Linked DNA regions of Yarrowia lipolytica. The protein of the gene in region 2 purifies or fractionates together with the protein of the main gene of each other region. This does not show direct contact. Links are inferred from orthologs where the notes say so. Each region holds a gene or a part of one and is shown on either strand. Other genes may lie near its edges.

Region 1 (12,505 bases), on a different chromosome or scaffold from region 2:
TCCGGAGGAACTAAAAGTCGGAGTAATGGCGGTGTTCAATACGTTGTTTGAGAGATTTCAAAGACCAGATATGTTTATTATATCTGCTTAAGTTGATTCTCTTACTGATAGACCACTTACACTTCCCGTATGAAAAACTTACACCGTTTCTGTATTTACTCCCCCATACTGTCGTTTAGATCTACTGTAGAACTTAAACTGACGCACCCCCCTCTTGCTGGATATATATGCAGAAAAAAAAAAAAATAACGCCACTATCATTATCGGTCATATCAGGCGGTTTTCAAAAGACAAAAAAAGGGGTGGGGGAGGGAAAATAACAATGAAATGATCGTGAGCTGTAAATTGACGGTACTCGATAACCCAAATTCGACGGTGTCGCCATGACAAACACGCCTAGTCCCCTCCGAAGCTGAGGCATTTGTGTTCACCTCCTTTCTCACCTGTATTTCGTTATCGAGATTTCAAGTACTTGGAGCTACTTTTGGACCGTGCATACTTCACCAAACTACAACTACAATGCAAGTACAGGTAGCATTATGTACATACTGTACTCGGACCGTTACTCGTACCGACACTGTGTGTAGGGTTACGTCGTATACACGCTAACTAAGGAAAAGATCGAGATATTGGGTAATCCTACTTTGTTTAGTCTCTACACGGGCAACTTCTGGGGTCGTTTATTGTCCTATTCTCTTGGAAGGAGACGCTACTTGTTCTTCGTTCAGATCTAAGCACTGTCATCAGCCATACGAGCAGTCTAAGAAACTACTGTAGTTATACTAACGAGGTTGATGAATTCAGTAGACACCGGCGACTATTGAGTCTCATATCTTTTATTACTCGTCCATGTACTTTGATCTCCCTCACAATTTTCTCCCTCAGTTCCACCGAAGGTTGAAGTTGAGCTGCATCCTTGCATAAAGATACAGATCGAGAAATATCCCAACAGGATGATGTACAGTAATGTTCAGTACAAGGACTGGTACAAGTACATGATGTAGTCGGTTATATTACTTCATGAACGTCAGAGCAAGCCTCAAGATCTTCGTTCATCCACTGCCAGTACAGTAGGAGTAGAGGTAACTACTTGCATACATACCTCTCTACATACTGTAGAGGTAGGTATGACCAACCAATGACAAGCACTTAGCCTAAAAAAAGAACACTACAAAAAAATTGCAGCACCTACTGTAGGATTCTCGTATGGTCTCCCACTACAATACTAACTAGGCTCTCTGGTGCTTGACTATGGCTGATCGGACGGGAAGCCGTATTTTCACCAGGATATGGCTGCAACTGGCCGGTAACTCGGCTGCTTAGTCACCGTTGCAAGGTCATTGTGTAACCTTGGGAAATGTAGAATAAAAATAAAAAAACTAGTAATGGATCATAAGAATAAAACAAAAAGCTATACTTGTACCTGAATGACTAGATTATACAGTTATGTGTTCCCTCGATTTTACCAACCATGGATTCATTATATTTCATTTTTATTAGTCTAAAATGTGCTTAAAGCTCATGATCGTAAGGGATACCCTCAGCAGCACCTCGTCGAGTGACAGCAATACCACCAGCCTTGTTTCCGAAAGCAATGGCCTCGGAGACTGTCTTTCCCTGGATAATGCTAGTGGAGAAACCTCCAAGGAAAGTGTCTCCAGCACCAGTAGTATCGACAATCTTCTCGACCTTGTTAGAAGGAACATGTCCAGAATCAGTCTTGGTCTTGTAAATGACACCGTTACCTCCCAGAGTGACAACAACGGCCTCCTTGATTCCCATCTTGAACAGGGTATCCGCAGCTTGGTCAGCTTGTTTCCAGATCTCCTCCTTCGATGCCTCCTCGTTGATTTCGACGCCAGAGATGAGAGTGGCTTCCGTCACATTGACCACGAGGAAATCTATGCTGTTGAGAACGGCGGCGGGGATGTTACCTCGCTCGTCCACAGGACTGGGGTTGTAGACCACTTTGGGCTTCTTAGATCCAGCCTTCTCGATGGCCTTGTAGACGATGTCGATGGGGATCTCGTTCTGGAAGATGAGCATGTCTGTGTCGAAGAGATCGTCAGTGAGATCGGCCTCAGTCCACTCGCCGTTGGCTCCGGCGTAGACCATGATTCGGTTCTCTCCAGAGTCTTGATCCACAAAGATGACAGCCACTCCAGACTTGGTGTCGAGCTCGTGGATGGCAGACACGTCCACGCCAGAATCCTTGAGGTTGTTTTTCAACTGAGTACCGAAGTTGTCTTTGCCGACCTTTCCGTACATCTTGACGTTCACATCAGGGACCTTGGAAGAGAGTCTGGCAGTAGCAAGAGCCTGGTTGGCTCCCTTACCTCCGCAGTGGGTCTCAAAGCCCTGGGAGAACATGGTCTCCCCAGCGTTGGGGAGTCTGTTGGAGATGGTGACAAGATCGTAGTTGAGCGAGCCGACAATTGTGATTTGCATGGTTGGTGATTTGGGGTCAGAAAGAGAGTTGTAGTTAAAGATAGGTGTTTAAATGAAATGTTTTTCCGAGAGTGAGCAAGGACCAAACTCAGGGATGCAGATGAGATGTGAGTGATGGAGGTTTAAAGTCTAAAATAGCACAGAGAGGGAAGAGTGACATCATAGGGTGCGAGCTGGAAAAAAAAATCAGAACATTTGGTTACTTGAGCGTTCTAACGTTGCAATATAAGACAGGTGATTCTATAAGTACATGTTAAGTCACGCCATGCACCCCACATTCTGTACAAGTATGTACATCCGTAACCGGCAGCCCATCGCTGGTCACTCCCAATAGCCGAGGAGTCATGCGATCACGTGGCTGTTTGAACATGAGAGTGACAATGTTGTCGTTCAAGGTATGAAATAGAGATGCCAGATATCCAGACCGGGCCCAAAAAGAACTGTAACAGCTACCGCCCTTGTCTTTATATTTCATAAGTGTCCTTTTTTTGCATAAGAGTCCAACGATGATGGCCCTAGACGTTCAAACTAAAATCCCACAAGTTTCAACTACTTCTTTCAAGGTTACTTGGAAAAGGTATTGTAATAATGGAGATATCTGAGAGCAGATTTCGAGTTTTTTGTTGTTGTTTTTTTTGAATAGACACATTCCAAGCACCCTCGATATTTTTATATTTTTTTGATCTCGGTTCTTCCGTTTCAATGTCAATATTATAACCATCATGTTGTTCAGTATGTACAGTATGTACACCCCTCACCTACACATGACGAGCCACAACTAAGTTTACGTCGAAAATATATTTCGTATCATGCACAACGCCTGAAGAATCTTTAATTTACACTGAACGACACACAACATGACGAATATGGAGCCAATCACATACCCTTCGGAGGTATTTTCGAGACTTGTGCCCGATCTATATCTACACAGACATCTCAACCAAGGATTGCGACCAGCTACAAACCGAGCCTTCACACAACACCGAAAGATCAACCACTTTTTGGGCGGTCTTAAGAAGCCCGTGGGATCCGACGAAAAGTCTGCGTCTCTGGTTTGGGGCTCTTCGTTGATCCAGGCCGATGGAATGAGTATTGTGTGTGGTGTTACCGGATCTGTGTCTGAGGAAGAGGGCGGAATCTTTGTTAACGTCGAGGTTCTGCGAGGAGCAAACGGAAGCAGTGCAGCAATGGGGGGGCCTCCCAGCGACGAGGAGCAGGTGGTGAGCCGAAAGACTACCGATCTGCTCAAAAAGGGCATTTTCTCCTGCAAGGCAAACAAACAATTCTTCGAGCTCCAGAACTTTCTGAAGGAGGGACAGGAAGACGAGGCCGTGTTTGACGCTGGCCAGCACCAGAAGCGATACCTGTGTTTGCATGCCAATGTGACTGTCCTGAGTCGTAACGGACCTGTGCAGGACTACGTATGGGCTGCTGTTCTGGCTGCTCTGAAGGATACAGAGATTCCTCTGATGGAGATTGATGAAGATACCGGACGAATCACTCTCACCCACGACTTTACCACAATTCCGGTCGACGACCTTGACATTCACAGCAGTCGGTCGTTCGGGTTCATCAAACCCAAGCCAGAGACTGATGCCTACGAAGACGACGAGATGGACACCTCTGAAGATGCTGCCAGTGTGCTGTTAGCAGATGTCCAAGGAGAGGTTGAGCAGGCTGCCACTTCCAGCACCCGTGAGGGCTCTCGGCTGCAGATTGTGCGTGGCCGGGAAGACACGCTTATTGGATTTTCTTTTGTGGGCAAGGGTACTGGAGTTGGACTCAACGAGATTAAGAACGCGTTGGATCTGTCGAAGCAAGAGTAGATGGATATAAGCATGTATAGACTAATTGGCGGAACTAATGGTACTATTGTATTGTGCTTGTGCTACATGTAGAAGAAGTCTATAGAATAGCATACGAGTGCAAACACTCGCGGATACAGTACTTGTTTTAGACATGATAAAAATACATTACTGGTGCTATCAATTGAGGTATCCCTTGCAGCCAGGTGCGCCACACAGACAGGGAATCCTCTCTTCTCCAATCTCCTTTTCGAACTTGTAGTCATATGTGAGCTCCTCGTTGGCAGCAATGTCCCGCGAGGCATAGATGACGATACGTTTTTGACCCTCCACCTTGATGATTTTGGCCGTGCAGCTGGGGGTACAGCAATGGTTGATGAACCGAGCAATACCTCCTCGCTTTGTGGCGTCCACGACAGTGCTTTCATCAACTCTGAACAGATATGAAGATCCGATACCTGACCTCATGTACCGAGCTTCTCGCAAGTCGGCAATCTCCTGTCGCACAACTTCTCCGACGTACTCGATGATCATCTCGTTGGCTGCAATGGGCTCAATAGCATAGAGACCCCAGTTGTGGATAGCTGAACGAGCGAACTTGACAGGCTTCTTTCGCTTTCGCAGCTGATTGAAGTTGAGCACATCGGTTTCGGTGGACAGCAGCTGTTTCTGCATGTTGATGTCTGCCACCAGCCTCCGGTTGTTGGCACGGTTAACTCGCGAGTTGGAGGCGTTCTCCTTCTTTTTCTCTCGGTTTTCCATTTGAAGCGTGTCGATGGGGATGTTGAGCTTCTTTCGGTGAGGCAGGTATTCGGATTTGGCAGCCTCAGGGATCTTGAAGTATCCCTGAGACTTCCATGAGCCAGTGGAGTTAACAAACGCGTTGGGAGCAGCCAGTTCGGGGAACTCTGCGTTTTCCTTGGCTACAGCCTCGTTGAGATGTTTATGGGTCCACGTCCATGCTTCTCCGTTGATCTTTTCAGGCTCAATACCCTCCAGGGCCTCCTGGAGCAACTCCATATCTTCGTCGTCCTTAACCAGCGCCTGGAAACCTGATATGGTAGTCAGAGCACCACCCTTTTTGTCGGCTGTTACAGGTTGAGGGAAACCGTGAGCAGGAGCCCAGTCGAGAATCTCGCCGAATGCAGTTGTAAGTTGTTGGGAAGTATCGAGAGTCGATGCTTCTTGGAGTTCCTCCTGCGCAGTTTCGTCCTCTTCTTCTTCCATATCATCCTCCACTTCCTCCTCTTCCTCGGACTCATTCGAGCCTTCAGAACTGCTGAAGTCCATAATTCGCTGCTTGGACTGACTGATCTTCTTGCGGGGTTTTCTAATAGGAAGTTCGGCAGCGTCAGCGGAGGTATCAGGGACAATGGGAGTCGACATTCGAGTGCTGTCTTCCTCATCCGAGTAGTAGTCGTTGAGAACGTGGTTCATGGGACGAGCAGATATCTTCTTTCGGTTCTTCTTGGTGGCATCCTTCTTCTTGGTCGGATCACCCTTTCGCTTGATTTTGAACCGAGGAAGGAAACCTGGGATCGCAGAAGACGATTGCACAGGCTCGGGAGTATCTACTCGAGCGGCACTGGCGTTAACAGTGTTGGGTTCAGTAGCGGCAGATGGCTCAGGATCCTGCTTGATATGAGTAAATCGAGCTGGATTCAGAAACTCCACAATGGCTGCAGCAATTACCCGCTCCCGAATATCCTTACGGAGACTATTGGCCAACTCCTGTACGATGAGTTTCCGGGCCTCTTCCTTAGGAGGGAGCTTGGGGGCCTGCTCGGTGGCGTTTTCCTCGCTCTCTTTGGTCTTGGGAGCAACTCGAGAAAGTCGAATCATAGCCATAGCCATCTGGTGGCCATTCACCTTTCTGCCATTCATGGCCTCGTAACATTCTACAGTATCCCTGTTGTTGTCGAAGAAAACGTAGAAACCATCTCCTTCCTTGAGAACATCAAACCAGCCGAAGTCACGCAGAATCCGACGAATATCAGATGCAAACACTTTTTCTGACGGTAGGTACTTACCAGCAATGAAGATGTATGCGCTGGTTTTCATCAACTGCGCTGCCTTTGGAGATGGCCGAGCTGAAGGAACAGGTGTGGGCAGTTTCTCCATGATGGACTTGTCTGCAGCAGGTGCAGTAGGAGGCTGCTTGACAGGCATGGCTTTCTTAGCTGCTCGAGCTGCCACTCTTTTGATGATATCCTTGGCCTTGGCTCCATCCTCATCTGGCTCCACTCTGTACTTGGCCTGGTCAATTCGTCCTGTTTTTTGGCCTCGGATGGCCTTTTTGAGGCACTCATGGGCGGCCTCGTAATTGTTTTTCGTCACCTTGAATCGAACCAGACATGCTCCCACTGAAGAACCTGTAGCAGGGTCCTCTACCATGTTGACGGCTTCAAGCTCACCATATGTCTTGAAATGGGCAGTGATAGTTTTAGAGGTAGTTAGTGAAGAAAGACCCTTGACAATGATCTGAGTTGATGGAGGTGGTGCGATAGAATTTGCGTCGTACTGTGTTAGTTAGTGATCAAAAGGAAAACCTCCATTGTGCTAGATTCAATCGCTTCATACTCACCAGAAATCTGGGCACCGGTAATCTCTGATACGGCTTTTTGTTGGACTTGCTGGAAGTCTTGAAATAATGCGGATGTTTGCTTCGAGGATCCTCAGTTGTGGATGCTCCTTTTTTGACCTCCTCATAAATGCCTCTCTTGCCTTTTTGTTTATCCTTGGAAAGCTCGGGATCGTAAGTTAGTCTTGTGTTGTTTTTCCTGCCCACTGTCTCCCACACTTCTTTGGGGAAGGTTTTGAGCCGTGGTGGAGAAGGAGGAGCTGGCGGTTGAGAGGTAGGCAGATCCGGTTTTCCGTTGGTGGGGGTTAATCTTGGAGTTGGAGCAGTCTGAGGTGTCGAGATTACAGATCCCTTCTCCTTGGTGTCTCTGTCCCTCGTGCCTCGGTCTCTGGTGTGCTTGTCAAAAGATCTATCGTGTCTGTCGTTTGAGCGGTCTCGGTTTCGTCCATCACGTAGTGGAGGAGGTGGAGAACGGGCAAGCTCTCTAACACCGGTAATCAGATCCCGGTCTCTGGAGAACAGATCTCTTTCTCGCACTAGCTCTCTCTCTCGCTCTCTGGGAGGCATATCACGGTCTCGAGAGGGCAAAGGATCCAAGGAATGTGGTCGGTAGCCCTTGGGGTCTCGATCACGTGGGTCATGATCTCTGTCACGAAAATCCCGATCTCTGTCTCGATCACGTGCATCTCTTTCGCGGTCACGCGGGTCCCGATCTCGATCTCGGTCTAGGTCTCGTCGGTCTCTATCCCAGCCACGCTCGTCTCTCGCGTAGCGGTACTCACGGCCTCCCCGAGGTGGTGGGCGAGTATCCCGAGGTGGAAGACGTCCGTAGTCTCTGGAATCTGTGTCCCGCGCGTCTCTTGATCTGTCGTAGTCGCGGTCGCGACGAGGAGGATAGTCATGTGAGTCGAGGCGGTCATACCGATCGTACTTGTCGTACTTGTCATACTTGCCGTACTTTCCACCGCCGTACCGGTCATAGTCCCGTGGCGGGGGGTAAGCACGATCATAGTCTGAGTAGTCACGGTCCGTACGGCCGCCATAACTGCGGTCTTTGGAAAAATATTGGTCGCGGTCCGAACCCCGTCGGTCGGGATGTGGGGGCGTTCGAGTGTCGTCCGCACGAGCACCACGAGGCCCCTTCGGCACGGGCTTTGTATCTGAGCCGTTCGCCATCCAAGATTTGTCTTTTCCGAGTCTCGTGATGAGCGTGTGGGGGATCCAATTTAGTCACTGGACGTGGTGCATCATTATTTCCATTCTATGAACCTTATCAGTTAGTGAGGAAGGGTAGGCGGAAAAACTACGAGTAGACTACAGTACGAGTAGTGCAGAGGAATATATTCGAGTTATATAAAGTCGTTTGTGGTAAAAATACATGAATGGACTAATTGGGCTATTATGAGGAAGATGCAATAGATACATTCGTGCGATAAAGAGGCGACCATAATTACACGTCGTCTTGAACAATCATGCATTGTTAATTAGCGTACCACAAGTAGTACCAATACACTTTATTGTAAATAATCACCAGAAAATCGAGACTACAGTATGTACACATACTACAACACCTATACTGTACTTGTAAGTACATCATTCAAAGAACAAAAACTTGTGCATGGAGTTCGATATACTTACTACAGGTATATACGGTAGCAACAACTACAAATGTTGAGCCTGTCAATATCTATGCATTTCTTTCCTTACTTGGTTCGAATGTGTTTGAGCTTGCCGTAAGAGTGGACAAAGTTGTTGGCGTACTGCTTGACACGGAACTTTCGGTGGTGAGGCTCCTGGATGTAAAAGTCCCAGCCCTGCTTGTTGGCGAATTTGATGGCAGATTCCTTGCTGGTGAACTTCATCTGTGTGGCCTGCATGTAGTCGCCGGAAGATTGCCATCCGATCAGATCGTTCTCCCATCTGTTAGCAACGTCGACAATGTCCCAGTCGAGTCTCCAGGCAAAGGTTCCTGTTGTTAGTACGCGTGTTTGGATAGACGAAACCAGTTCATGTTCAGGTGACGGTGTGTGCTTTGACATCATGAATAATATCAGAGTATACCTGAGTATTTAACATGGCGATGAAGAAAAAGACAGAGACATGACAAGCACAACAGCTTAAACAGTTTTGGTTCAAAGCCATACCCTTCCGTCCACTTTTCCTTCCTCTGTTAATCCCTCCTCTTTACTCCGTCTCAAAATCTTCATATCAACTCCACCCTTTCATCTCAAATTCTTAAACGAATCTGTAATACTCACCGTACTCTCCGCTCTGAGTGGCGGGCTTGGCCTGCTGGTAGATTCGAACGACTCGGTTTCGAGAAAGCTCAGCAGGAGCTCCGCTGACAATCTCATGGGCGGGGACGTTGTCGAGGTTGACTCCGACCTCGGGGACATCCTTCTTCTGGAGGAGTCGGGCGGAGGTGGCGAAAGATCGCACGGAGGGCTGGCTCAGCTGACGGAGGCTTCGAGACAGCATTGTGTTGTGTGATATTTGGTGTCTGGTGGTATAACGATTTAGACCTTGATATTGCAGTTGGCTAATAGCATGCGACATGATTGGTTGGCTGGTGGGTTAGGGTGCGCTGGGACTGGACGAGCTTAAAATAATATCGAGCATCTTTTTACTTGGAAGTTTTAGTTGAGAAAGTTACTTGAACTGCTCGTTGGGTAGCTGAAAAAAAAAATACCGATGTGTTGCTGCAGATACTTGTACCAAATATTCATTATGTTATTACTATTTACAGACACATCACTGTCGAGCAATCTCCAACATCTTGGCAACATTGTTGACCTTTTCTCTGGGCTTACCTGCGGCATCACCCTGGCTGTGTTCATGGGCCTCCAGCTTCTTCCACTGGTCCCATGAAATGGCATCCTCAAGATACTGGGTGAGGTTATCGGAACCAGACTTGGCACCATCAAGCTTGCCGGCGGTTATATCGTCGGAAATAGCCTGTGCTGTGTCAAATGAGTCTGCCATAGTGGTGGCAATCACACCGGTGGGTCCGTTCTTGACCCATCCTGCAGCGTAGACCCCATTGTCAGTTACTCGGCCTCTAGAAGACGGAATGACGCTTTTTCGGTCGTCAAAAGGAATGCCCTCCAGAGGAGTAGATGCATATCCGATACTGGTGAAGATCAGGTCGGTGTCGAAGCTCTCGGTAACACCAGTAGGCTCCACTCCGATTCGTCCAGAGCCGTCAGCAGAAACAAGTTTGTTTTCCGTAGCGATAAGAGTCTTGACGAGTTCGGGGTCGTCGGGGTTCGCGATCACCTCCTTGGGTGAAAGAAGGTAGTCTAATGACCATTGTTTGAGGGTGGATGCATGAGCAGGGTCCCTCTGCTTGGCCTTGAGATTGTACTCCTCGATGAGCTTGACAATTCGAGAAAGAGGACGCTTGTAGCTCTTGTGGGCAGCTAGCACATCGTCCCATTTCGTATGAGGAAACGCGACAAAGCCTGTATCGGGCAGCTTGAAGAGTTCTCGGATCTCCTTGATTGTGAATGCAGACTCTAGCAGTCCTCGTCGGGCCATGATTCGCACCCGCTTAACCTTGGACGTCTTGAGCGTCTCGTACGCCTGCTGTGTGATATCTGTAGACTTGAGGTGGTCGAGAGGGGATAGCAGGATGCGAGCAATATCCAGAGCCACGTTTCCGTTTCCCACAATTGTCACTGTTTCGGCCTTGTGGAGAGGAGGGTTGAGACTTTCATGCTCGGGGTGACCATTGTACCAATTGACAAACGTTCGTGCAGAAATGACACCGGGCAGGTCCTCTCCGGGAATACCTAGCTTCCTATCTGTATGGGTGCCGTAAGATAGAACCACAGCATTGTAGTTGTCTCTGAGCTTGGACACAGGTAGGGTGTCTCCGACAGTCACGTTGCCAAAGAACTGGACACGGGGGTCGTTTCCAACCTCGTCGAACGTGTCCTGGCAGTTCTTTACCTCCGGATGATCCGGTGCTACTCCATGTCTAGCCAGTCCGTAAGGCACAGGCAGGCTTTCAAAAAGGTCGATCTTGGTGTCTGGCTGGAGCTTGAGCAACCGGTGCGCAGTGTAGAAGCCTGCAGGGCCTGCTCCAACGACAGCGACACGAGGAGTCGATCTGAGAGTCGATAGGTGGCGAACTGATCGGATCATGGCGGGGCTGTCAGAGGTCACTATTTAGATGCATGATCAGATAAGCTTACTTGAAAGTGCTTACTATGGTGTGGCGGCTACAAGTTGACTGATGACACATGACTCAACAGGCTGATAAAAAGCTGGCGGTTGACTGATGCTGCCAGTATATGCCTCCCAATGGCTAATATACACCCTGTTCAGATTCTCACCACTACAATCTGGTTTCCCGTGAACTACTTGTACTGTATAAGTACAAACACTATACCGATTCTCGTTAAAGACTGAGCATGTACATATACACAGCCAATTGCAAGTGCATAACAGGAGATTTAAATTCTGAGGCGGTATTTTTGGACATGTACAAGTGCCTGTACAAGTATTGGCAATCGCTTCAATATCCTTTTACACACGCTCTATATATTGACAAGTACTTGTACCCATATATCTCCTTCCACGCGACACTCGAATTGGTCGCACCACAAGTAGCTAATTTACCCAGGGGGAAGGCTCACCCAATTTACAATCACCCTTGTGTTCCCCCGACGCATGACGACAGGGAGACAGTGAGTCTGGAACCAAAATTGCAACATACTTGTCGGCTATGGCACGTGGCGGGTTATTAATATATAGAACCAAAAAGCCCACTTGCAGAGAATATTTCTGGGTCTTCCATAAAGCCTCTTTCTGGGCCCAACAAGCCGCTCTTCGTCCCAGTAAACCCTTACCAAGACCCGGTATAAGTCCGTGTCCACATTTCACACACTTCCCAATTGAATCATCACCACACAACTCTCATTACTTACCCCATAACCTTTGGTATCACACAGCACACCACCACGACCACATGTCACCTATAGAGGAGCCCAAAAAGCCATTCAATACTCAATCTCAGTCGCTGGCGAACTGGCTCAAGCAACAAAAGTCGGATACTGCACCCTCACTACCCCAGCCCTCCAAGAACGTCGCTAACAAAACAACTGCCACTGCCGCATCCACAGATGGCTCTCTCAAGATTTCCTCTTCCGGCCACTTCAAGCTGGCTCCTCTCAAGCGGGACAACTCGGCGTCGCCCAAGCCCACCCAGTCGCCGCTATTTGGCTCACCCGCACAGGGGGTCTGGCGCAGAATAGCATCTCCGAGAAAGGAGGAGCCGGTGCTGGCAGTGGCTACCCCAGAGCCCGAGCAGCAGAAACAAGACGAGCGCAAGGGATCCATGAGCGACCTACCCGAGGAGGAGCTCGTCAAGCTGGGCATCCATCTGGCCCAGCGACACAGACAGCCCTCAGCTGATGGATTCAACTGGGCAGAAGATGACGACATTGAAGACTGGGCAGACGATATGCCCGAGGCAGCCACAGAGGTGGAAGAGCCTGCGGAGGATCTGCCCAAGGTGGCGACCGGATCGCGACCCACACAAGCATGGAAACCCATCTCCACGACAAACTACGTTCCCATTGATCAGCAGCTCAAGGAGTACGAGGAGAAGAGAGCAGCCCAGGCTCAGCAGACACAGACAAGCTCGAGCCGGCAATCACTCTTTGAC
Region 2 (10,726 bases):
GGCGTGTGTTTGGTTTCTTTTTTCGCCATCTTGTAGTTGTAGTGATGAGGATCGAAAGTTGGTGCATTAAAAAGATATTTATTTCTGCATATATGCAGTAGCTGCACGCTCGCATCTGGTGGTCATGTGGAGGCGGTCGCGAAGAGACCAGTAGCGGTACTGGAGTGTCAGAAGAGGGGCGTTTTTTTCCATGAATTCGTTTAGACGATTTTCATTAGGTTGTTGTTATAGTAGTGCAAGCATCACCAATGGAGGAGGGTAGAGTAGAGTAGAGTCTGATAAATAAAATAAGAAAAAAAGGGGGAAAAAAAGGGGAAAAAAAGGAAACAAAGATGGAAAAAACAACTGAACAAGTAGCTCCAGAATGAGAATAGAATAATGGCAAGTGTCGGTATTAGCACATTCAAACATATTTACAACTCCAATAGTATGCCTTCCGCGCAGAACGATCGTGGTGTGTCCTAGTCTCCACAGTTGTCTTGTACATACTGTACTATAGTTGAACTTTTGTTAAGGAAAAAGTCCGCTGGGGGTTCCAATCCAGGGTTCCAAGCATCCCAGAGAAAAATAAAATGTCACATAATGTATCCCCCAGATGGAATTATCATTAAGACCTTTCAAAACAGTACATTACAATATAAATAATGCGACTGGAGCCGTCTGAAGCAAATTGAACATCTCTCATCTACTTGAGTTTGGTTGGGACACTAGAACAGACGGCAGTAGACCCAAGTATGTACTTAAGAATACTTGTACTTCTATATAATATGACTATCAACGGGAAGCGCTGCCAATTCTGAGCCGGGTCATTTTCTTTGTCACACAAAAACTCGAAATAGAAGCAGTCTTTGTCGGTACAAACATCGCATTCTTGTAATAATTAATTTTCCTATAGTTACACATTCCTCCAATATTTGTACGAGTACTCAGTCGACCCAGACATTTGTACCTGAGATAGATTGGGTCCACACTTCCAGCTATGCTATCCATCTCCTCGTCGGAGTTTGCCATGGTGGGGGGCTCGACTCTTCACTGAAATGACTTCTCCCACTCGAAACTTCTCCAGGATATCTGTCCTGGATCGGCAAAAAAGGGACTAGGTCCTCATATTCCCTCCTCTAATACCACCCTCCATTGGTCCCATACTCGGACTTGAATCCCTCGTCATTACCTCCAAACGTAGGTCCTCCATACTGAGTATCTCCGTACTGGGTTCCTCCTCCGTACTGGGTCTCATTTCCATATTGAGTCTGGCCTCCGTTTCGGCCTGCAGCACCACCGGCGCCGTCCCTATCGCCCAGAATCATCACCACCTCAGCCAGCTTCTTCTGCAGCACCTGCATGCCTCGCAGCACCACCTCGTACTGCGTCAGGGCGCCGGTAGCCTCCACGTTGATGTAAAACTTGTTGGGCTTGGCATTGTAGTCAAACGGCTCGTTCTCCTTGGGAGGCTCTTCCCAGTCTGCATTCTTACTCAGAGGCCACTCCTCCTCGGCATTCTCCTCGTACCAGTAGTCGGTGTGTTTGAGCTTGTTCCAGGGGTCGTACTCGAAGCCAATGGCCGCACAGGGACTCCACTTGGCGTGCTCCTTGGCAATGCCCTTTTTGGCAATGCACTTGATGCGCAGACTCTGGTTCTTACGCAGCTTGCAGATGAGAATGCCCTTCTTGGCCGGGTCCGTGTAGATGGGCTTGCCGAGCTCGGGCCGCTCGGGGGTAGTGTGCACCATGAGATCACGGGAGTAGATGTCCATGGTGTCGTCGCCAGTGCACGTGGCGTCCAGCATGAGCACAACGGAGCACTTGTCGCAATACTCGTCACAAACACAGTCTCGACTGTACTCGAGATCGTTCACGTCCTGGGAGTCCAGCGGAATGAGACCCAGACGGTGTGAAATGAACTCGTCAGCGAGCACGGAGGTGTTTGTGGAAATTTCGACCAGGTCGATGGCGAGCGTGGGAATCTCGGCCAGCATGACTCGTCGGAGAGAGTTGGCAAGGCTGGGTTAGTAAGAGTGAACACTTGCGCTTCGAGCAGTGAGAGCCAGTGAGGAGACTCAGAGACGGACGTGATTCCTAGGCAGACAGGAAGTTTTCTCCTTGAGCGAAGCAGAAGACGTGATGATATCATCCCATTGAAACAACACTAGATTCCAGAGACCGACAAAACCTGTCATTTCAGGCAAAAACACGTAAGACGAGGCAGTCTCTCGATTTCAGCGAGTGGAAAGACAGTCTTGGGTCCAAACTACCTAAACAGTGACGCCTGATGGAAAGACGGGTTCAGCTGAACTTCAGCAAAACAAAGTCAGATGATGAGCCGTGGTAACCCAGGAGCAACTTCAGTATATATACCTGGGCGTCAGGTAGAGGTCATGGTGAGTCTGGCTCGCATTAAACGGCATCAGATCTAGGTGAGAGTGGGAGGACCCGTTAAATGTAAGAAAAGTTGGATTGAGTTTGTTGGATGTATCTGTTGGATGTATCTGTGGAATGTATCTGTGGAATGTATCTGTTGAATGGCTTACACGAAGATATCCTCGGGTAGCGCGTGAGTCTGATATGCCTGGGAATACTTCGTCTGATAGAGCGCGTGATGGCAGTCTCCACGCTCTCCCGACGTACCGCAGTCTATGTCTAAGGAGACCCCGCCTGACATATGGTATCGACACTGAAGCAGTAGTTTCGAGGGGGTAGTGTGAAGAATGATTCCAACTGAACTCATGGTCATCTTTAGAGTAACATTAACATATCATCCGAACAGAACAAGAACGAGGATCAGAACCAGGCCCAGGCCAAGAATCAGACCGTAGACATCGTCCTCCCATTGCTTGTTTGACAGTCACCAAATGACACCTTAGTCTCGAAAGTCACATTCATTCAGCAGCAAATCACTCCACCAATCAAGTTGGCATCCATCAAGTTGCCACCTTCTCCTTCACCATCTCATCTTGCCACCTCATCGAATCCCCTTCACACATCGCTCCCATCACATGACATCATGTCTGTGTCTCTTGATACCCCTCACAACGTATCACGTCTGTGTCTCCCGCACAATCTCCCCACAACACGATTCTCTCCTCTCTCAATCCATCGTCGAACATCCGCCGAGAGGCCGTGTGGCCCTCGTAATACTCACGCTAAATCGACATTCTGAAGCACCAGATCGACCGAATCCGGCTCGATCTTTCGCACGGTCACCTTGGGGCCCGTTTCCTCTTCCATTTCGAGATGTGTTGGTTTTGTCGAGAGTCTTGGGAGTCAACTGGCAGAATATTGAATATGGCGATGATTAACTTTAATAGTCAGCACGGCGAGTAGAACGGGCAAAGTGACGAACCCGGCGGCGGTATTGATGAGGCGAAACGCCTTATTGTAGAATCACCTACGACCCTTTTTTTTATTTGTTTTTTTTATATTGATATTTTTCAGCCCACAGATTATGACAAAATAAACTTCTCTCCATCTAAAACCTTACTTGTAATAACAGATTATGAGCTTTTTTAATTGAGAAATTTCTTGGGCATAAATTCACTCAATCCAAATGATGAGCTACGATCCCATCAAATACATCGCTGAACGATTACACTTGGTCTCGCCCATATTCGGGCTCATCGTCACTACCATCTATCGTTTAAACTTTATGCATGTCACATGATGTGACTGCTTTTCCAACCGACTCATGGGCCCTACATACTCCCAACTTGCATTTTTCATCTTAGTCCAGTCGACAACACGGAATCTCAAAATGCCTCGTAAGTACACTCTTATGACGAACTGCTGTCACTGTCATTATAACTGACTGGGGTTGGTTATTTGTTACATGGTTGTTCAGCTGGGCGAGTTGTATCGGTCGATATCGGTCGGTACAATCTCTCCAGCCAGAGTGATTATGAGCATCGTTTGCTGCTGCTACTACTACTACCCCGACGTTTGACAGTGATACCAAATCGAAATACCTGGTGAAGGGTCACGTGTGAGAACCACCACTATGGTGGGTCCGCTCGGCGACCTACAGCCTCCTACGCTCAGTACTAACAACAGGAGCCCCCCGAACCTACTCCAAGACCGCCTCCACCCCCAACCGACCCTACGAGTCTGCTCGTCTCGATGCCGAGCTCAAGCTCGACGGTGAGTTTGGTCTCAAGAACAAGCGAGAGATCTACCGAATCGGTCTCCAGCTGTCCAAGATCCGACGAGCTGCCCGAGAGCTGCTTACCCGAGACGAGAAGGACCCCAAGCGACTTTTCGAGGGTAACGCTCTGATCCGACGACTGGTTCGACTCGGTGTTCTTCCCGAGGACCGAATGAAGCTCGATTACGTTCTGGCTCTTTCCCCCGAGGATTTCCTCGAGCGACGACTGCAGACCCAGGTCTTCAAGCTCGGTCTGGCCAAGTCCATCCACCACGCCCGAGTGCTCATCTCTCAGCGACACATCCGAGTCGGCAAGCAGATTGTCAACGTTCCTTCTTTCATGGTTCGACTCGAGTCCCAGAAGCACATTGACTTTGCCCTCAACTCTCCCTACGGAGGAGGACGACCCGGCCGAGTTAAGCGAAAGAACGCCCAGAAGGGTGCCTCCGAGGACGCCGAGGAGGAGGAGGACGAGGAGTAATCGTCTTCTTCTTTTCTAGCTCAAAAAGTATCGAAAGATTAATAAAAATGCATGTTTAGTGTGCCCAATTCAAGTAGACGTAAGTGGAGACTACAAGTACTGTAGACTGTCAGATCGATTATGGTCAAGTTCATTGTTGGCAAGACAACTCTGACCATCAGAACTGGCAGGCACTCCATCTGTCTCGATGGCTACTAACCCTCTCATACTCTTGCTAAACCGAGTCTTGCTGCAATAATCACCAGAGTCATACGGGACGGTGCTTAGAGTAGTCAGACACGCTCTGGGGGGCCGAGAAGTGATTCAATGTTCCACAGACGGTTAAACAGAGTTGGAATGTCTCTCAATCAAGTACAGCAGAGCCATAAAAAGTACTTGAACTTGGGTCGGTGCCGGTGATTGTACGTAGGTACCTACTTGTACCCATCCCAATGGCTCAGATGGACGTTATTGATGCTCTTTTCATGTTCACAATGCTCACAACGCTCACTCTTGATATGGTGATGTTTGATAATCTCTACGTTCCGTTTGTGAGCAGAGGGCCATTGCGGTCACTTGTTCTGGACTCTACAAGTTTCGATGATTGGATCTGTTCGTATTTTTTTACAATCTGTAGTTGGCAGAATCAGATAATTTACTTCATAATTTGTTAACATAATCAACCAATACTTGAGCAAAACCACTGCCCAATCTCTACATCTCATAGTGCCCAGATCTGCCTGAAATTCTCACTGTACATTCCTAATCGTCATATAATATTCTGGTAGAAGCTCCAAATCCCTGGCCTTCCTCCTTAGTTAATAAGAGCCAGTCCAGGCACACCTGAAGGGTGGCCCAGCAGTCGCACCATGCCTGCGATACGGTAAAACGTACTGCCAATAATAGCACTACACAAAGTGGTACAAATACATGATTTGTGAGCAATAAAATCCCAGAATATCCACCAATACATGTCGTTAAACAAATATACGACTTCAAGTATCTCCAGAATTCCCTCTCTCGCCAGCTACAAGTAGCAAGTACCTCCCTTTCTTCCACCAACAAATATCCCCCACTAAAATAAGATTCTTCAATAAAATATCAACTAAAATCCCGTTCATCTCAACTCCCCCAATAACGGTCCAAAATCCACTCAAAAAAACCGATATATGCACTTTTTCCTATTTAGAATCAATCTCCTATCTCTCAGACCTCATAATCTCACCCCATCACCCCTTGATACCACATTGAGTGGCATTTTGGGATCTCTTCCAAATCGGGAAACACCCTGAAACCCAAATTTGTCTGTTGAATTCTGTGGTCATACTAGACTCCATTATTTGACCGTCAGAAACGTAATAACGACTTGAAAATCTTTGTAACATCCGTACAAAGCGTCCATGAACCATTCCACTCCGTTTTTCGCCTCCTCCCCACTACCATTATCCCTTCAGTAGCCCTCGGTGGTCTCCCAAAATATCACGTGACATTAGTCTGAGTTTGAAAAAACAGTCACACCCGACCGGAACCTTATTTGCGCCCCTCCCAACCTGCACAAACAATTTCACCAAAAGGAAAATACGCTCTGATTTTCTTTCTTTGCAAGTCAACGACAATAATCAACAATGGGTAAGAGGTAAGTTCTTGCGATTTGAGGGATGAACGGACGGCAGTATGACTGTCAGGGTGAAGTGGGCGTTTGGGAATAGAGCGGACTCGGGAGGCTAGGCGTGGGGGCATTATGGGACGTTGTTTTAGAGAGGCCATGGGATCGAGGAGAAGCCTGTGTTCTTCCGATAATCCAGTGCCCGGAGTGCCTTCTATGTCTCGCGCTCGGCTCAGCTCAGCTCAGCCCAGACAGACAGTCTGTCTGTCAAACCACACCACCGACTCACACTAACTCAGTCACGGATACAGAAGCAGAACCCGATACATGTTCTCTCGGGACTTCAAGAAGAACGGAACTATCCCCATGTCCGTCTACTTGAAGACCTACAAGGTTGGAGACATTGTTGACATCCGAGCCAACGGTTCCATCCAGAAGGGTATGCCCCACAAGTTCTACCACGGCCGAACTGGAATCGTCTACAACGTGACCAAGTCCGCTGTTGGCGTCATCATCAACAAGGTTGTTGGCAACCGATTCATGGAGAAGCGAATCAACCTCCGAATCGAGCACATCAAGCACTCCAAGTGCCGACAGGAGTTCCTTGACCGAGTCAAGGCCAACGATCTCAAGCGAAAGGAGGCCAAGGCCAAGAACGAGATTGTCCAGCTCCGACGACAGCCCGGCGCCACCCGAGAGGCCAAGACCCTTGCCATCGACGAGACCAACTACCCTCTCACCGTTGCTCCTCTTGCTTACGAGACTTTCATCTAAGCGGTCGAGAGTGACATAATAAAATTGTATCTTATTAGGAGACTCCAGTATTTGTAGTGAAGTGAGTGAAGTGAGTGAAGTGAGTGAAGTGAAGCGATACTTAACCAATGTCCAGTAGATGAGCAATAGGCGATGATTTATAGTAAGACAAGTAACGAGGTTGCCATACGGGAACATACCGTGTCGATTGTGGTACGAGTTCGAGAGATGCCAGTCAACTTGGAGTAACATCTCGCATTTGCAGTCTCCGTTCGGCAATTCGGTGAAAGTGGCATAGGAGACGTTGCTCAGATACCACGGCCCGACTCTCCGACACATGGTTTTTGACGACCCTGAGCCGGTCTACGAAGAGGGAAGAGCCATCGCTTTGAAGGCACTCTTGAGGTGGTGAAAGTGCTCACCAGAAAGATGTCGAACCCGCACTCGGGATTGTCGCAGAGAGCCGTTGGGCTGAAACACTCGGATGGATCCCCAGAGGGACCTTCACCCAGTCCATTCCATTGGTACAGGGCGCCCGGTTCCGAGTCGATCTGCAGTCATCTCCGGATCCGAAACTCGAAACCTCTCAGACCGTTACTTCCCCCCTAACAAATCGAGACTGGCGACTCAACCGCCCCTCTGTTGTATGTAGTCTGGCAGCTAACGTCCGGCGAAGTTAGACGCGGCCCGCTCAAAATCGACGGGAAACCAGTCACCCAAGCTAGACCAGAAAGATTTGGGCAAGATACCTGGTCCCTGGTCGAGTCCGGATTAAAATCGCTGGTACTTAGTCCACAGCTATCGAGGTAGAGTCAAGGTCAACGGTGCTGTTTCGTTACACTCTGGCTCTGTTAGGATCTCCTGAAAACCATTTATCATCAACCTGCTGACCACCGGTGCTATCAGGTATTGCAGCTCTCCGTCGTTCCTGGTACATGATCTGCAGTACATGTTGGCGTGACCACTTATGGCCTTGTCTACCACTGGCAATCTTTAAGGACCACCCCTCAAGCCTGAGCCTCGTTCAGATGATTACTACATGTCTACCATTGAGACACGCCAGGATACTGCTGACACTCTATCCACTACAAGTAGTTCACAATCTAATGAGCAGGTGGCATGGCCAGTTCTGTCCATTAGAGAGGAATGGACTAGTTTTTATAGAGACTATGGTGTTATATATATTATATAATATATATATTGCTCGAAATATACTCCCCTTTTATTCCCGCCCAAATCTAACGCCTGTAGTCAAGTAAAAATCCAACTAAAATATAAACACCATTGTTTCCATAACGAAGACAACTTGGAAAATCAGTAGAAAAGTTATCAATACTGTTTAGTTTCAAAAATATTCAACATATGCTGCCGTTTTAAATACTCCATATATCTGTGCCACGTCGGGAACCTCCATCTTGAACCCCCAGTGGACTTTTCCCAACAACTATTTTCCAACTAACTTCCAAAGTATTCTGGACAACTTCAAATCTGGCAATCCAAGGGACCATCAATAACCACCATATAGAGACCTGACAGGAAATTTATATACATGATATACACATTGCTCAAGTACAGAACGAGTAATAAAACACAGCGAGCCACTTGAACAGTTGGTCACCTGATCGCAGCCCTCCACCATAAGAGAGGTTATGAACAGAGTGGGTTTAGTAGCAGCAGTCGTCTTACCATCCAATCTCTCCAAGGGTTCAATACCGCAACCCTGACAACCACTTAGTCTATCAATAACCGACTATCGTAATGTCCCCCCTATAACCGCCTATAGCCTACTACACCCCTCTCCTGTCGCCGTCATTCCACCATCCACCCGCCAGCATCCAGTTGGGCCTGTCGCTCACCCTTCAGCAGACATCCCAATTAGGGCGTAATTTTGATTATGCAAATAGACCCTGTCAACAAAGGCTTAAGTGGAGTCTAAGTTAACTTTATTTGGCTGGTGATCATGACAACTGCCCCATTCATCTCGTTTTCCATAAAGATTCCCAGAGCTTTCGCACATTCAAAATGTTCTCTAGATCCAGATCTACCGCCTGGCGTTTTCTCCATGTCTCCACCATGTCAGTAACGTTTTCCACGGTTCGTCAAAGTTTCGAGCAAAAAAAATGAAAATTTCTGAAACATCTGAAATAGTTCTCCAACTTGTCAAGAGAATGTGGAGCAAAATGGAGCAAATATGAGGATATCCCGCAAGATCAACCGCCGTTTCCCGGCTTTTTGGAGCTCGGTAAACCGAAAACCCACATTTAGATCGGAAAGTCGTCATCCACTGAGCATACTATAGATACACACAGTAACGTACAGTATGTACAAGTACCGGTTGCAAAAGCCCCGAAAAAGAACCGATGAAAGCTCGTCGGCAGTGATTTTTTTGGCATATTCAGGTTCGTGTCACGTGACAGCAGAAATACACATGGCAGAACAGGTCCCATGACATCCATCCATCTTCTTCCATCCCGTATCAAAATTGCTCCACTCGCTTTTAAACTTCTTCCCTGCTTGGCCGTTGGAGCTGCGTTATACTGACGAGTACAGACCCTGATATAGCCGGTTGGGCTCGGTTTCTTCGCATTGTCGACAAATGTTCATTCATAATCTGTAGTTTAGAATATTCCAATATCTCGCTCTTACTCATAACCCCTTCCAACATCCCTCAGCCCCTCCCCCTTACCTACGCTTACTACGTCTGTCTGATGATTGCTTCCTGAACCGCAAGGCTTGGCAGGAGGGATAGAATGGTGATCGATCGGGGCGTAAAACGGAAATTTGACAGACCAAAGACATGGATTAAAAACACGTGTTCACGGTTGTCACGTGACTACATTTCTCTGTTAAGGGCTCTATTTTATGGGCTTCGTCGGCCAACATTTCCTTCCCTGATCTCTCTCATCTCCAAACTCTAAGCGGTGAAAAATCCTACGGAAAAAATCTAAACTAACTCGGTCAAAAAAAAAAAAAAAAAAGATCCTGCATCTCCAGATTAACTGCTCAACGTCACTTACCATGAAGGACTACGTACGACCCAAGAGCACGCTGGAGAGCGACGAGGGCTCCGCGACATACCCTGCGATGCGGCTTTCGGAAGACAAGGCGACGCCCGTGGACCAGGTGGTCCAGGTTTCGCCCTGGGTCCATTTTGTGGCGGGAGGTATCGGAGGCATGACCGGAGCTGTCTTCACTTGTCCTCTGGACGTTGTCAAGACCCGTCTACAGGCTGATTTCTACAAAACACAGCTCGCAGAGATGCGAACTGCTTACGGCAACCCCAAAGGCCCGTTCCGAAACGCCTGGCTGCACTTTGTCGAGACCGGCAGCATTCTCAAAAACATCTACAGACAGGAGGGCTATCGGGCGCTGTTCAAGGGTCTGGGGCCCAATCTGGTCGGCGTCATCCCTTCTAGATCCATCAACTTCTTCACCTACGGAGTGGGCAAGGAGTTCATCGCCAAGGAGTTCAACGACGGCAAGGAAGCGTCGTGGGTTCACCTGCTGGCCGCCGCCAACGCCGGCATCGTCACATCCACATGCACTAACCCCATCTGGCTCATCAAGACCCGTCTGCAGCTGGACAAGGCCTCTCCAGAGACCCATCTCAGACAGTACAAAAACTCGTGGGACTGTCTGAGGCAGGTGATGCGAACGGAGGGAATCAGAGGTCTCTACAAGGGTCTGACAGCGTCGTATCTGGGCGCCTCCGAGTCCACCCTGCAGTGGGTGCTCTACGAGAAGATGAAGCAGCTCATTCGAAACAAGGAGA

The links. The genes of interacting proteins can lie anywhere in the genome.
Region 1: the proteins of YALI1_F08292g (region 2) and YALI1_B19520g purify together in Saccharomyces cerevisiae (affinity purification with mass spectrometry; 3 studies listed by BioGRID, with this or other methods). This does not show direct contact. The link is inferred for Yarrowia lipolytica from reciprocal best matches to the Saccharomyces cerevisiae genes RPB3 and SET1.

Annotation. Positions count from the first base shown.
Region 1 is NC_090771.1:1,947,570-1,960,074, reverse strand, and holds YALI1_B19520g (uncharacterized protein), read right to left. Parts: upstream 8,011-12,505; coding exon 6,838-8,010; intron 6,774-6,837; coding exon 4,434-6,773; downstream 1-4,433. Other genes in the region: YALI1_B19576g (uncharacterized protein), read right to left, coding at 1,513-2,448; YALI1_B19567g (uncharacterized protein), read left to right, coding at 3,306-4,274; YALI1_B19507g (uncharacterized protein), read right to left, coding at 8,538-8,803, 9,093-9,312; YALI1_B19490g (uncharacterized protein), read right to left, coding at 9,586-10,980; YALI1_B19485g (uncharacterized protein), read left to right, coding at 11,564-12,505. UniProt on the Saccharomyces cerevisiae protein: Catalytic component of the COMPASS (Set1C) complex that specifically mono-, di- and trimethylates histone H3 to form H3K4me1/2/3.
Region 2 is NC_090775.1:821,784-832,509, reverse strand, and holds YALI1_F08292g (uncharacterized protein), read right to left. Parts: upstream 3,226-10,726; coding exon 3,140-3,225; intron 2,002-3,139; coding exon 1,119-2,001; downstream 1-1,118. Other genes in the region: YALI1_F08324g (uncharacterized protein), read right to left, coding at 1-29; YALI1_F08284g (40S ribosomal protein uS4), read left to right, coding at 3,749-3,755, 4,045-4,616; YALI1_F08260g (60S ribosomal protein eL21), read left to right, coding at 6,221-6,231, 6,501-6,975; YALI1_F08225g (uncharacterized protein), read left to right, coding at 9,973-10,726. UniProt on the Saccharomyces cerevisiae protein: DNA-dependent RNA polymerase catalyzes the transcription of DNA into RNA using the four ribonucleoside triphosphates as substrates. Component of RNA polymerase II which synthesizes mRNA precursors and many functional non-coding RNAs.